3 linked regions of the Caenorhabditis elegans genome follow. The protein of the gene in region 1 interacts with the protein of each later gene in a biochemical or structural test. Each region holds a gene or a part of one and is shown in the gene's direction. Other genes may lie near its edges.

What was found.
Region 2: the proteins of cdc-37 (region 1) and hsp-90 form a complex in vitro, tested with the Caenorhabditis elegans proteins (3 studies listed by BioGRID).
Region 3: of the proteins of cdc-37 (region 1) and pph-5, one has a biochemical effect on the other in vitro, tested with the Caenorhabditis elegans proteins (one study listed by BioGRID).

What each region holds. Positions count from the first base shown.
Region 1 is NC_003280.10:577,486-582,378, reverse strand, and holds cdc-37 (Hsp90 chaperone protein kinase-targeting subunit), read left to right. Parts: upstream 1-1,785; coding exon 1,786-1,877; intron 1,878-2,486; coding exon 2,487-2,874; intron 2,875-2,920; coding exon 2,921-3,529; intron 3,530-3,664; exon of another isoform or gene 3,665-3,718; intron 3,719-4,169; coding exon 4,170-4,292; downstream 4,293-4,893. Other genes in the region: fbxb-14 (F-box associated domain-containing protein), read left to right, coding at 1-268; W08F4.3 (Sigma non-opioid intracellular receptor 1), read right to left, coding at 543-721, 1,138-1,387, 1,440-1,561, 1,623-1,758; W08F4.7 (CW domain-containing protein), read left to right, coding at 4,647-4,749.
Region 2 is NC_003283.11:14,684,524-14,689,116, forward strand, and holds hsp-90 (Heat shock protein 90), read left to right. Parts: upstream 1-1,636; 5' UTR 1,637-1,640; coding exon 1,641-1,790; intron 1,791-1,837; coding exon 1,838-2,542; intron 2,543-2,590; coding exon 2,591-3,576; intron 3,577-3,634; coding exon 3,635-3,902; 3' UTR 3,903-4,016; downstream 4,017-4,593. Other genes in the region: C47E8.4 (Protein FAM50 homolog), read right to left, coding at 91-161, 211-282, 517-616, 670-799, 846-954; C47E8.11 (uncharacterized protein), read left to right, coding at 4,114-4,188, 4,236-4,397. UniProt on the Caenorhabditis elegans protein: Molecular chaperone that promotes the maturation, structural maintenance and proper regulation of specific target proteins involved for instance in cell cycle control and signal transduction. Undergoes a functional cycle that is linked to its ATPase activity.
Region 3 is NC_003283.11:19,188,598-19,193,594, forward strand, and holds the start of pph-5 (Serine/threonine-protein phosphatase 5), read left to right. Parts: upstream 1-1,949; 5' UTR 1,950-1,957; coding exon 1,958-2,081; intron 2,082-2,139; coding exon 2,140-2,387; intron 2,388-3,018; coding exon 3,019-3,198; intron 3,199-3,867; coding exon 3,868-4,110; intron 4,111-4,939; coding exon 4,940-4,997. Other genes in the region: Y39B6A.3 (Iron-sulfur cluster assembly 1 homolog, mitochondrial), read right to left, coding at 743-895, 1,001-1,090, 1,167-1,254, 1,303-1,367.

The sequences.
Region 1 (4,893 bases):
TGCAAAGGATGTCAACTTGTTCTTGAAGATCTGGATTCAGAACTCACAGCTGAGAATCAGTGATCTTGTTGTAGATGGTCTGAATATTGAGCATCCTGTACATGGAACTATTCTCCGCGGAATAGACTTTACTAGATACGAAGATCCTCTGGTCGTGGATGATGGAATGGTTCAACACGTCCAAATTGTGTGCAAAAGAGGGATCAAGGCAAAGGTTTCCCTCACCAGAACTACTGTTCGATTCGTCCGGCTGGCCGACGATGAGTAAGCAGCGACTTTTGATCATCTTTCACTGCAAATGCCTTCAAATACCTGTGCAATTATTTTTTTCGGTTGAGCTATATGGTTAAATGGTTGAGGTGATGAAATAAATATGTTCTTGTATTTTAAATTATGCAATAAAATGGCTCAAGAAATCGAATTACACAACCGTAAAAATGGAAGTAGAGGGGGGACATTGGGATAAAACATGACTGAATAAATGAAAATTTCGGGTTAGAATGCTTGTAGAAATGCACCGGATGGGGAATCACATAAATTATTTAAAGTTCTCCAGTGGCGCGGGCCTTGTAGTGCTGGAAGACACGATAGAGGGTGTGGCTCAGGTTGTTCCAGTAGTTGTAGGCCTGCTTCATGTAGAATTGAATGACCGAGAGTGGCTCGCCGAGTGAGATTCCAGAGGTGACGTGGACGGTGGAGGAGAGTGGGAGGAAGCCGCGACCTGAAAAATATAAAAATTCATTAGAAACGAGGGGATTTTTATATGGGTCTGGTTGACTACAAACTACAAAATTATATTTAGCAGACCAAGCGATTTCAGTTCGAAATTGGTCTGCTAGACTACAAACTACAAAATTATATTTAGCAGACCCAAGTGATTTCAATTCGAAATTGGTCTGCTAGACTACAAACTACAAAACTGTATTTAGCAGACCATGCGATTTCAGTTCGAAATTGGTCTGCTAGACTACAAACTACAAAATTATATTTAGCAGACCAAGTGATTTGATTTCGAAATTGGTCTGCTAGACTACAAACTACAAAATTATATTTAGCAGACCCAGGTGATTTTAATTCGAAATTGGTCTGCCAGACTCAAAAAAAAACGAATTTTCCTTGATTTTCGGTGTAATTTACCGTAGCACGCGACGTAGGTGTCCTTCTCGAAGCTGTACACGTGGGACTCGAACTGTCCGTGCCTGAAAGCGGCTCCCGAAGCAAAGTTCTCCGACGTCTCGTCCTGAGTTCCGTCATTGAATCGGCTGACTTTTCCTTTCAACACGGTGCACGTCGTATTTGCCCAATGGAGCCCCGGGCGTCCTGAAGTTGGGAACGGAGCGGAGAAGGCGGCGGCGAACTCGGTGAAAGCGGTCAGCATTGGGTACATCTGGAAAATTCATTAAATTTAAGATTTTTTTTCGATTTTTCCTGTTCCTCACCCTTAAAGTGAGGCCTCCCAACTGAATAGCGTGCCATTCGAAGTGACTTGGCATGATTGGCTCGTAATAAGTGCGCATTCCAGACGTCAATGTGGAAATTGACTGGGAGATTGTTGGAGCAGCTGAAAATATACAATATATTAAAATTGCGGTATTTTCGCAGAAAAATATGTTTTTCCTCACCAGCAGCCTTTCCAGCGATAGTCTTGAACTGCTTCGGCGAGATGTCATAAGACTTCCAGCGGAGGCCAAATTGAGCAGCCTGGAAGACTGCGTAGAAGAGCAGAAGATACCGAAGCTTTGAGGTGAGAAGAGCCATTTTCACGTGTTGAACTACCCTGAAAACATGGAAATTTGGAAATTTTGCGTGAAAAAAAAAGGAAATACAGTCATTTCGCGAGTTTTCAAGAGGGACAGCGAGTGCGAAGAAGAAAAATTGTGAGTTTAACATTGATTTTTTGAAATTTCAGATGTTTTTTCGCGGAAAAATCAATGGAAATGCTTGAAAAATGCAAGAAATGGCGCTGCAGCGCGCTGAAAATTAAAAAAATCAGCGAAAAAGGAATTGTGTGCAAACACCGTGACGCAGAAGCACACAGAAAACACCATATCTGACGCGCATTGCCACAGAAGGACCGAGAAGAAAAACAAAAGTCATTTTTCGCCTTTCTCATGTTATTTTCGGGGTTTCCTTCGATTTTTTCCACTTTTAGAAGTCTAAATTTAATTCTACAGGCTTTTAAAAATCAATTTGTCGGAGTTTTGGGCCAAAAAAAAGGCCGAAATCCGCTAGAAAACGTAGTATTTCTATTTGAGAAATTTTGAAGAAATTTCTCGAAAATTGCTCAGCAAATAGTTAATTCCACGTAAATCCTTTGAAACATCATTATAATGCCACGTTTTCTTCATGAAATTTCTGTTTTCGTAATTTCACGCGGATTATCCTCGTTGTCGTGGCAACCGAGTCGGAATTTTCCAGCGATTATCAGTTTTCTCTCGCTTTTCCTGCTAATTCCTTATTTTCCACTCAATTTTCTCGATTTTCAGCTCAAAAATGCCAATCGACTACTCCAAATGGAAGGATATCGAGGTTTCCGACGACGAGGACGACACTCACCCGAACATTGACACTCCGTCGCTCTTCAGATGGCGCCATCAAGCTCGTTTGGAGCGAATGGCCGAGAAGAAGATGGAACAGGAGAAAATCGATAAGGAAAAGGGCACGACGAGCAAGAAGATGGAGGAGCTCGAGAAGAAGCTTGCCGCAGCCGATGTCACTGACAAGTCGGATATTCAGAAGCAAATCGACGAGGTGAAGGCGCAAGAAGAAGCCTGGCGCAAGAAGGAGGCCGAACTCGAGGAGAAAGAGCGTCTGGAGCCATGGAACGTCGACACGATCGGTCATGAGGCGTTCAGCACGTCGAGGATCAATAAGGTTTTGAAGATTTTTCTGTGCAAATTGATTAATTCTGTAATTTCAGATCACCGAGAAGAAGCCGCAAGCTCCCAAAACCGATGAGGAGGACACTCATGCGATGAGCACTTTCTTCGAGACTCACGAGAGCCTTCTGGAGAAGATGGCCGTGCTCAAGAACGGAGCCAAGTCGACGGAGCTGTTCCTGGCCGAGCATCCGCATATGGCGTCGGAGTACACTGCAAATTGGCTCACAATTGAGGCTCTCAACGCCGCCATCGATTTTAATGAGGAGAAAATGAAGACGATGGCTGAGCAATGCATCATCATTCAATATCTTCTGGAGCTCTCGAAATCGCTGAACGCAGTCGCCACGAATACCACCGTCCAGAAGCAATTCTTCAAGAAGTTCGAAGCCGCCGAGCCGGTCTACATGAAGCACTATCAGGATGAGGTGAAGGCGTTCGAGGATCGTCTCAGAACACGTGCGCAGACGAAGAGAGACGCCGCGATGGAGGAGGCTGAAGCCGAGGAGAAAGCCGAACGAATGAAGAGTGCTCCGGGAGGAATCGATCCACAGGAAGTGTTCGAGCAGCTGCCGGAGGAGATGAGAAAGTGCTTTGAGGCACATGATATCGAGGCGTTGAAGGGTGTCGCCCAGAAAATGGATGAAGAGGTGAATATTTGGGTCTGCTAAATTGAAATTTGTAGTTTGTAGTCTAGCAGACCAAGTTTCTTCCAAATGGCATTGGTCTGCTAAATCGGAATTTGTAGTTTGTAGTCTAGCAGACCAAGGTTCTTCAAAATGGCATTGGTCTGCTAAATCGAAATGTGTAGTTTGTAGACTAGCAGACCCAAAGTTTTCAATTTTCGCAATGAAAATTGCAAAAATTGATAAATTTTCAATTTTTCAGCGGAAAAATGAATATTTTTCAAATAGAAATTAGCAAAAATTCAGGTTTTTTGCGATTTTTAGTGGAAAATTGTGCGATTTTTGTGTTTTAAGACAAAAGTGCGTATTTTAATATAAAATCCTGAAAAAATCTGAACTTTCGGGGGAAAATTGATCTATTTTCAAATTTTTGAGTGAATTAACATTGTATTCCAAAAAAAAACGAATCAAAAATCAAAATTTTAAGCTGAAAACAGGCATTTTTTAATTTTGGTCTGCTAAATCGAGTTTTGTAGTTTGTAGTCTAGCAGACCAAATTTCTTCAAAACCACCTATGGTCTGCTAAATCGAAATTAGTAGTTTGTAGGCTATTATTTTTAGCCAAATTCATCTAATTTCAACATCCAAAAATCCAAATTTTCAGGTCTTCAAGTACCATTTCGATCGATGCATCGCCTCTGGACTCTGGGTGCCCGGAAAAGCTGACGACGACGACGACGATGAGGAAGCTGCTCCAGCCGAGGAAGAGCCAACAACCAGCTCCTAAATTTCCCCATTATTCCCCGTTTGAAAGTTCCCCTGATCTACTTGTTTTTTCTGCACCGCACTTTACTTTTTCCCCAAGATTCACTGAAAATGGCCCAATTATTTCTTTATTTATTCTACACCCCCCACGACATTTACTGTTTATTTTCCCTCTCGAACACCTGTAAAAAAGTTTTTTTTTGCTTCGAGAATCGTTCCACTTCGTATTCAAAAATTCCAATTCGGAATAGCATAAAGATTATCATCATCAACTTTCTTCTTATTGTGTTTATTCGTTTTTTTTTCTCACGATTTTTTGAAAGTGATGTTTTGTAAGCAAACGTTAGTCTCCGCCTGACAACTATAAAGTTCAATAATGGATGTATTATCGGTCATTTTTTGGCTGAAAATGGTAAATTCGCGGCTTATTCTACTAGTTTTTGTCCCATTTTCCTTGGCACAATTGAGCTTGTATGGAAGTGAGTCTAGGATGGGTCTGCTAGCCTACAAACTTCAAATTTTGATTTAGCAGACCCAATAACGTGCCATTTCGGCGTGATCTACGTAGATCTACAAAAAATGCGGGAGTTGAGGCGCAGAGTTCTCAACTGATTTTGCCTGCT
Region 2 (4,593 bases), on another chromosome or scaffold:
CAGACTTATTATTTTTTATTTATTTGTTCACCGGGATGATCTACACCCGCCAAAATTTGAAATGTCGTTGTTTTTTCTTCTAGAACTCACTTTCTCAAGAACTCCTCTCGTTCTTTATCAGGCAGGAAGCTTGTGTCGACAGTTGGGTCCATTCCAACGCGCTGCAAACATTTTTCGCTTTAATTTTTTCTTTTTAATTATTATTCTTACCTTTTTCGGGATAATTGGTGCAGCATCTTCTTCGTCCTCTTCGTCATCAAATGCAAACGATAAAAATCGCTTCTGAAATTAGCAATATTAAAACAGTTTTTCTCGAATGTTCTACAAAAATGTTTTATATCTGCGTTTCCTCACACTCTCACCTGCCCTCAATTTTTCTTTCTCGAAAGTTCTCAAATTTTTAGAAATCTGGTATAAAAGACTCTTTCGACGAGAAATCTCTAGTCAATTGAACTACAACTGCTACCCGAGTCTAGAGCCTACAACCAAATTTCTACAGCAATCCTTCACATTTACCTGGGTATGTTTTGCAACGTGTTCTTCTTTTTCTCGAGCTTCTTGTGAATCTTTAGATTGAGTAGAAGATGATTGGTCTCCCCGGGCCACTTGTAGATCTCTATAAGGTACACATTTTTATTGTGAGGCTCTCCAAAATGTAGAAAATCGAACCTGTTTGAAATTTCGTTTTTCTGAATATTTTTCATATCATCCAATGATACCAAGCCATAGGTTTTAGACTTCACGACTTCTTCGACTGTTTCATAGTTTGCCATGAATTTATTCGTAATTCCGACCCTGCCTGCAAAATTTGTAGTTTTAATAATTAAAAAGGGGTTTCACCATACATTTTTCTTTGTCTTCTTCAAGCTTTCGCAATTGTTGTTCGATATCTTCCTTTTCACGCTCACGTTTCTTTGCCAAATGAATCAAGCGGCCTTCGTCGGCGCGGGACATTTTATTAACTGCAAAAATAAAATAAAAACCAATGAAAGCAATATTTTTCAACGAGTTCAATATTGAGAGTGACATATAGTTTATTTCGGGATTTTATTTAATATAGAATAATAATTTTAGATTTTTTTTTGGTGCAAAAATACCAAAAAAACGTCTTTTCGACGAAGTAATCTGAAAAAAATGAAGAAAAAACAATTCAAACTAAAAACAAGAAAATGTTTGTGGCCTAGTTACCTATTCTGCAAAACTTCGGCCAGGTGCTGAAAACGCGCTCTATTGACAATTTTCGTCGAGAATTTTCCGCCGAAAAGGGCAATTTGAAAACCAACCAATCAAATTGAAAGGCCACGCCCTCCTTCGAGAACATTTCGCATCTTGTTCAAAATTTAGACCTTCAATTACGCCTCAGAGCTCTGATATTCCCAGTTCTTTCGGTTTTCGGGTGAAGATTTTTGGTTTTCCTCTCACTAATATGGCTTTTATGTTAATCACGGATCATTGTTTTTGATTTTTAAAGGTTTTTGAACAATAGTTTTAGGCCTAAAATTAGTTCATTTCTAGATAAGGTTATAATGTGTTTTTAGTTTCGAAATCATTCGCCATGCGTGCTCTTTCATTCATTGAATCGTTATAAAGTTCTATTCAGTTTTTGTTGCTCGATTGTTAATTGATATTTTTCCAGAACCATGTCCGAGAACGCCGAAACCTTCGCATTCCAGGCTGAGATTGCTCAGTTGATGAGCTTGATCATCAACACTTTCTACAGTAACAAGGAAATCTACTTGCGTGAATTGATCTCAAACGCCTCCGATGCTCTTGACAAGATTCGCTACCAGGTTTGTTTTTTCGCTTCTGAGTCAATTTTTTAAAATATCGGTTTTAGGCACTCACCGAGCCATCCGAGCTTGACACTGGAAAGGAATTGTTCATCAAAATTACTCCAAACAAGGAGGAAAAGACCCTTACCATTATGGATACCGGAATCGGAATGACCAAGGCCGATCTTGTCAACAACCTTGGAACCATTGCCAAGTCTGGAACCAAGGCCTTCATGGAGGCTCTTCAAGCTGGAGCTGATATTTCCATGATTGGTCAGTTCGGAGTCGGATTCTACTCTGCTTTCCTTGTCGCCGATAAGGTTGTCGTCACATCCAAGAACAACGATGATGACAGCTATCAATGGGAGTCTTCCGCAGGAGGTTCTTTCGTCGTTCGTCCATTCAATGACCCAGAGGTCACCCGTGGAACGAAGATTGTCATGCACATCAAGGAGGATCAGATTGACTTCCTCGAGGAGCGCAAGATCAAGGAGATCGTTAAGAAGCATTCTCAGTTCATCGGATACCCAATCAAGCTTGTGGTTGAGAAGGAGCGTGAGAAGGAGGTTGAAGATGAGGAGGCTGTCGAGGCTAAGGATGAGGAGAAGAAGGAGGGAGAGGTCGAGAACGTCGCTGACGACGCTGACAAGAAGAAGACCAAGAAAATCAAGGAGAAGTACTTCGAAGACGAAGAGCTTAACAAGACCAAGCCAATCTGGACCAGAAACCCAGACGATATCTCCAACGAAGAATATGCTGAGTTCTACAAGGTATTTTTAGTTTTAATTATTTTATGGCAATAATTCCATTAATTTCAGAGCTTGTCCAATGACTGGGAAGATCATCTTGCCGTCAAGCATTTCTCCGTTGAGGGACAACTTGAATTCCGTGCTCTTCTCTTCGTCCCACAAAGAGCTCCATTTGATCTCTTCGAGAACAAGAAGAGCAAGAACTCCATCAAGCTCTACGTTCGTCGTGTCTTCATCATGGAGAACTGCGAAGAGCTCATGCCAGAATACCTTAACTTCATCAAGGGAGTCGTCGATTCTGAGGATCTTCCACTTAACATCTCTCGTGAAATGCTCCAGCAATCCAAGATCTTGAAGGTCATCCGTAAGAATCTTGTCAAGAAGTGCATGGAGCTTATCGACGAGGTTGCCGAGGACAAAGACAACTTCAAGAAGTTCTACGAGCAATTCGGAAAGAATCTCAAGCTCGGAATCCACGAGGACTCTACTAACCGCAAGAAGCTTTCCGATTTCCTTCGCTACTCTACCTCCGCTGGAGATGAGCCAACTTCCCTCAAGGAATACGTTTCCCGCATGAAGGAGAACCAAACTCAAATCTACTACATCACCGGAGAGTCCAAGGATGTTGTTGCTGCTTCAGCTTTCGTCGAGCGTGTTAAGAGCCGCGGATTCGAAGTCCTCTACATGTGCGACCCAATTGATGAGTACTGCGTCCAACAACTCAAGGAGTATGATGGAAAGAAGCTTGTCTCCGTCACCAAGGAAGGACTCGAGCTCCCAGAAACCGAGGAGGAGAAGAAGAAGTTCGAAGAGGACAAGGTTGCCTACGAAAACCTTTGCAAGGTCATCAAGGACATTTTGGAGAAGAAGGTTGAGAAGGTTGGAGTTTCTAACCGTCTTGTCTCTTCCCCATGCTGCATTGTCACTTCCGAGTACGGATGGTCCGCTAACATGGAGCGCATCATGAAAGCTCAAGCTCTTCGTGATTCCTCTACTATGGGATACATGGCCGCCAAGAAGCATCTCGAAATCAACCCAGACCACGCTATCATGAAGTAAGTTACCCAAAAACTATTTTAAAATGAACATTCACAAACGTTTTTGCTATTTCAGGACACTTCGTGATCGTGTCGAGGTCGATAAGAATGACAAGACCGTTAAGGATTTGGTTGTTCTTCTTTTCGAGACTGCTCTTCTCGCTTCCGGATTCTCCCTTGAGGAGCCACAATCTCACGCTTCCCGCATCTACAGAATGATCAAGCTTGGTCTCGATATCGGAGATGACGAAATTGAAGATTCTGCTGTTCCATCATCGTGCACCGCTGAGGCCAAGATTGAGGGAGCTGAGGAGGATGCTTCCCGCATGGAGGAGGTCGACTAAACATCCTATTTAATTTATCATTTGTTACGAGAAGATCTCCCCAAAAGCCCCTCCACAGTTTTATTCATTGTTTTCCTGTCTATCGAACCCAAATAAAGTTCCGTAATTAATTTCATCAATGTTTTTTTTTGCAAACGTGAACTTTTGAAGAAGCACATTTGAACAGTTTAGATACTCGAGGGAAATTAAACAGTTTTAGTTTATACGAAACATGATTGCAATCTTATTCGAGTTGGCATGTTTCCTGATCTTGGCCAGTGCTGTTTGCTGCATCATTCCAGAACCGGTTTATACATGAGTTGGAGATGAGTTTAATATCTTTTCATGTTTCAGGAAAAGCCATTCAATCCACCTCCACGTCCAAATTTCAATTATAACCTCTGGGATCCTGTCAATGAAGATTTCGAAGGACGCAAGTTGGATGTTCGTTGGTGGAATCCGGAAGAAGAAGATGAAGATGAAATTGTTCCAATCCCACCAAACCTTGCTGTCTAATCTCTCATTTTATTTCTAAAAATAAAAATTTTTCGATAATCGTTTTATGAACATATGCTTATTCTCTTGAAAAATCCGCTTTCCGCGCACGCAAATCTGTTGATGCGTGCTCAAATTGACATCCGTTACCATGCCAACTCTTTCCAACTGCCCTTGAGAAATTGAAAGCAGCTTTACTGAGCTCTTTCTGTGTTCC
Region 3 (4,997 bases), on another chromosome or scaffold:
AATCCGAATTTTCAAGTTTTAGAACACAAAAACTACGAGAACATTATGAAAATTGAATTTTAAACTTTAATTTTTTTAAAAATCTAAAATTTGTGAGTTTTTCACATATAAAAAATTAAAATTTAACTTAAAACCGTGATTTCTTATAATTTCCATCGTTTTTCTGAATTTTCGAAAATTGTGTCCAAGTGGTGCAGTGGGATTTTCGCCGACTACCAATCATACCTCCGGGGTTCGAGTCCCCGCTGTGGTAAAAAATTTTTATTTTGATTTTTAAATGGTTTTCGGATAATTCCACCATGCGGAATCCGAATTTTCAAGTTTTAGAACACAAAAACTACGAGAACATGGTGAAAATTGAATTTTAAACTTTAATTTTTTTTAAAATCTAAAATTTGTGAGTTTTTCACATATAAAAATTTAAAATTTAACTTAAAACCGTGATTTCTTATAATTTCCATCGTTTTTCTGAATTTTCAAAAAAATGTGTCCAAGTGGCGCAGTGGGATTTTCGCCGACTACCAATCACACCTCCGGGGTTCGAGCCCCCAGCGTGGTCGAATTTTTTTGTATCTTTTGTATTTTTCTCCAAACAAGTTAATCATGCAAACTTCATATGTTTTTCACCTGAAAATTGCCAAATTTTCTGCACTATATTCAAATTTATTAGCATTTTTTCTAGAATGTACACGTGGAAATCACTACTAAATTATGGTAAATAGCGTAGCAAATCATCATCAAATCAAATACTAAAAGATTCTCCGCATCCACACGTTCCTTTAATATTAGGATTTCGGAAAACGAATTCCGACGATAGCTTATCGGTGACGTAATCCATTTCTGAGCCGAGTAGCGAGAGCTGAGCTTTTGGTTCGATCCACACTTTGATTCCGTCCTGGAAAATGGGAAAAATTGGGGGATTTTTCATCGAAATTAGTGAAAATCCGGGTTTTTTGTGATAAATTTGAGCTAAAAATCCAGATTTTGAGGCAATTTCTACCTGCTCAACTTCCTCGTCAAATTTCTGCTTATCCTTTGCATATTCCAGTGTATATGTTAACCCATTACAGCCTTTTTGTCGAACTCCGATCTGAAAAAATTAAAAATTTCATCATTTCCGGCGGCGCAAAAATCGAAAAATCGAAAAATCGACGGAAAAAACGAACTTTCAACGCATTTGCATCATTCTGTTGAGCCAATAACACGCGTATTCTGCTGACGGCTTCGTTGGTAAGTGTGAGAGCCGCTCTGAAACTTTTTCGGGGTGAAAATTGGCAGATTTCCGGGAAAATTCAGAATTACCTCGTTTGTCGGACTTTTAGCGCGCCTTTTATGACTTTTGCAGTTGCTCCACCGAATTTTGACATCGGAAAATTGAAAATTTAGTCGAAAAATGAGTAAAATAGCGAAAATTCCAGAAATAAAATGAAAAAAAAAAAAAAAGTGACAACGTTGCTCCGAAATCCCGGCCACGCGTGTAGTTTACCGTAAATCCAAACAAGAAATTTTTTGTCAAAATTGCCGAAATCAAGCGATTTTTAAGCTTTTTTTCTGTAAATTTTTTACGAAAATATGAAAAAATCAACGTTTTCATGCTATTATTTATTTTTCCCCTGTAAAAAACCTTTGAAATCATCGAAAAACCCTTAAAATCCAATAAAAACCCAAACACAACGACACTCCGCTCACCTCCCACCGCGTGTTGTTTACCGTAAATCCACACACAAGAGCAATTGTGCAAAAAAAAAAAACCCCGTCCAACCGGAAATTGTCCCAAAATTCTTCATTTTCTATCGATTTTCTTGCATTTTTTGTGTTTTTTGTGAATTTCAGGCTCAACATTTCGAAAAACACGGTTAAATTTTAGGGAAACCGCTCCGAAATTCGGTTTTTTTCGCTAAAAAAAAAGAGAAAAAAAAGAAAAAAAAAAATAAAATCTAAATTTTCAGGCTCCGAAATGGCTGCCACTATAACAGATGACATTGTGGCGACAGTTTTGGAGTCAATTGAGGAAAAGTCGTACGAAGATGAGAAGGAGAAGGCTGGAATGATTAAAGATGAAGCTAATCAGTTTTTTAAGGGTATTTTTTGGAAAAAAACCGATTTTTTGATGAATTTTAAAGTATTTTCCTGCTGCAGATCAAGTGTACGACGTGGCCGCCGACCTCTACTCTGTCGCAATTGAGATTCATCCGACGGCGGTTCTTTACGGAAACCGTGCACAGGCCTATCTGAAGAAAGAGCTCTACGGAAGTGCTCTTGAGGATGCGGACAACGCGATTGCAATTGATCCGTCATATGTGAAGGGATTCTATAGAAGAGCTACCGCCAATATGGCTCTGGGGCGGTTTAAAAAGGCGTTGACCGATTATCAGGCGGTTGTTAAGGTGAAAATTCACTTTTTTTGGGTGTTGAAGAGCGGAAAAAACGGCGGTTTAGAAACTATTTTTCACCCGGTTTAAGAGAAAATTTCGAAAAAATATATCAATTTTCACCTCCAGAAAGTCGGAAAACGCGAAAAATTTGAAATTTTGCTTTTTCAATTTTGGGCGCTGCTAAGACTACAAACTACAAGATTTTGGGCGCTGCTAATTCAATTTTGGGCGCTGCTTAGACTACAAACTACAATATTTTGGGCGCTGCTTAGACTACAAACTACAAGATTTTGGGCGCTGCTAATTCAATTTTGGGCGCTGCTTAGACTACAAACTACAAGTTTTGGGCGCTGCTAATTCAATTTTGGGCGCTGTTAGACTACAAACTACAATATTTTGGGCGCTGCTAATTTAATTTTGGGCGCTGCTTAAACTACAAACTACAAGTTTTGGGCGCTGCTAATTCAATTTTGGGCGCTGCTGACAGCTTTCGGCCGAAAAAATTGAAAAGAAATCGATATTTATGAAAAAAAAAACCAATTTTTATGAGAAAAACGTGATTTTTGATAATTTTTCTCTCAAATTTAGTATAATTTCAAAAATTCCCGTATTTTTCCCCGAAAAAATTTCCATTTTTTTGCAGGTTTGCCCCAACGACAAAGACGCTCGCGCAAAATTCGACGAATGCTCGAAAATCGTCCGCCGACAGAAGTTTGAAGCCGCAATTTCGACGGATCACGACAAGAAAACCGTCGCCGAGACTCTTGATATTAATGCAATGGCTATTGAGGATTCGTATGATGGTCCACGGCTGGAAGATAAAGTACGGGTGGAAAATGGCTGTGAAAATCGATTTTTAGACGGAAAATTGATGTAAAACCGGCAATTTTGACCCCGAAATTCAATTTTCAGAGCGGAAATTGCGATTTTCGGTGGAAAACTGATGTAAAAATCAATTTTTCATAGAAATTTGATCTAAAAAACGGTCCAAAAACATAAATTTTTGTGAAAATCGATCTAAAAATACGTTTTTCAAGGGTAATAGGCCAGAAATTCGAATTTTTTTGCGAAAATTAGTCCAAAAAATCGATTTTTCAAGGGAAAAGTGGTCCTGAAACTATTTTTCATAAAAATTAATTTGAAAATCTATTTTTCACTGCAATTTTAACCCAAAAATCGATTTTTCACAAAAAAAAACTAGCATTTCCGGTCAGAAAACGTGCAAATTTCCAATCTTTTTTGGATTTTCTGGAATTTTCATTAAAAAATTGGTCCAAAAATCTATTTTTCATAGAAATTTAGTCCAAAAGTCAATTTTTCACGAAAAATTCGCCTGAAAATCATTTTTTTTTCATAGAAATTTAGTCTAAAAATCGATTTTCCGCAAAAAATACAGAAAAAAAGTGAATTTTTCGTTAAAAAAAAGCGAAAAATTGAGTTTTTTCCCGTTTTTTCCGTAAAAAACCGCAAAAATGATCAAAATCCTTTTCAGATAACCAAGGAATTCGTGTTGCAACTCATCAAAACGTTCAAAAATCAGCAAAAATTGCACAAAAAGTACGCGTTCAAGATGCTCCTCGAGTTTTATAATTATGTCAAATCACTGCCAACAATGGTTGAAATTACGGTGCCAACTGGCAAGAAATTCACGATTTGCGGTGATGTTCACGGACAATTCTACGATTTGTGCAATATTTTCGAGATTAATGGATATCCATCGGAGACTAATCCATATGTACGGGGAAAGCGCTGAAAAATGAGAGATTTTGACTGAAAATCCGGGAAAATTGAGGAATTTTGAGCTAAAATTCATAAAAATTTCCAATTTTTGACCGAAAATCATGAAAATAGGCAAATTTTGTGATATAATCATGTTTTCTAGTGAAAAACCTCTAAAAATTGAATTTTTTTGCAGAAATTATTGAAATAAGCTCAATAAATCGACATTTTGATTGAAATTCGTGAAAAAATTTCAAACATTAAAACCAAAACAGCTGAAAATTGAGGAATTTTCACCAAAAATGCGGATTTTCAGATAAAAACCCTGAAATGATTTTTTTTTTCAAAGTTTTGGCAGAAGTCATTGAAAAATTCCGAATTTTTAGCAAAAAGCAAAAAAATTGCCAATTTTTGACTTTAAATTTATGAAAAATGCTCGATTTTTTTACTAAAAACCGCCTGAAAGCCAAAATTTTGTCAAAAATCTTGAAAAAGTCGAATTTTCTACAAAAAACCATCAAAATTTCGAAATTTTGACTTAAAAATCAATGCAAAATATTTTTTTTTCACTAAAAAGCTGAAAAATGCTCTTTTTTAATGCTCGAAATTTTGGCTAAAATTCATTTTAAAAAATCCTGATTTTCACCAAAAATTGGCAATTTTTCATCAAAAAACTTGAAAAAATTTCAATTTTTTGCTGAAATTGCAGAAATACCACAAAAATTACCAAATTTTGACTCTAAAAATCACGAAAACACCTAATTTTCACCCCAAAAACCCCCGAAAATGGCCAAATTTTCACTTAAAATATGTGAAAAATGCTCAAAAAATGGCCAAATTTTCAGCTTTTCAACGGTGATTTCGTGGATCGTGGCTCATTTTCCGTTGAAACAATTTTCACAA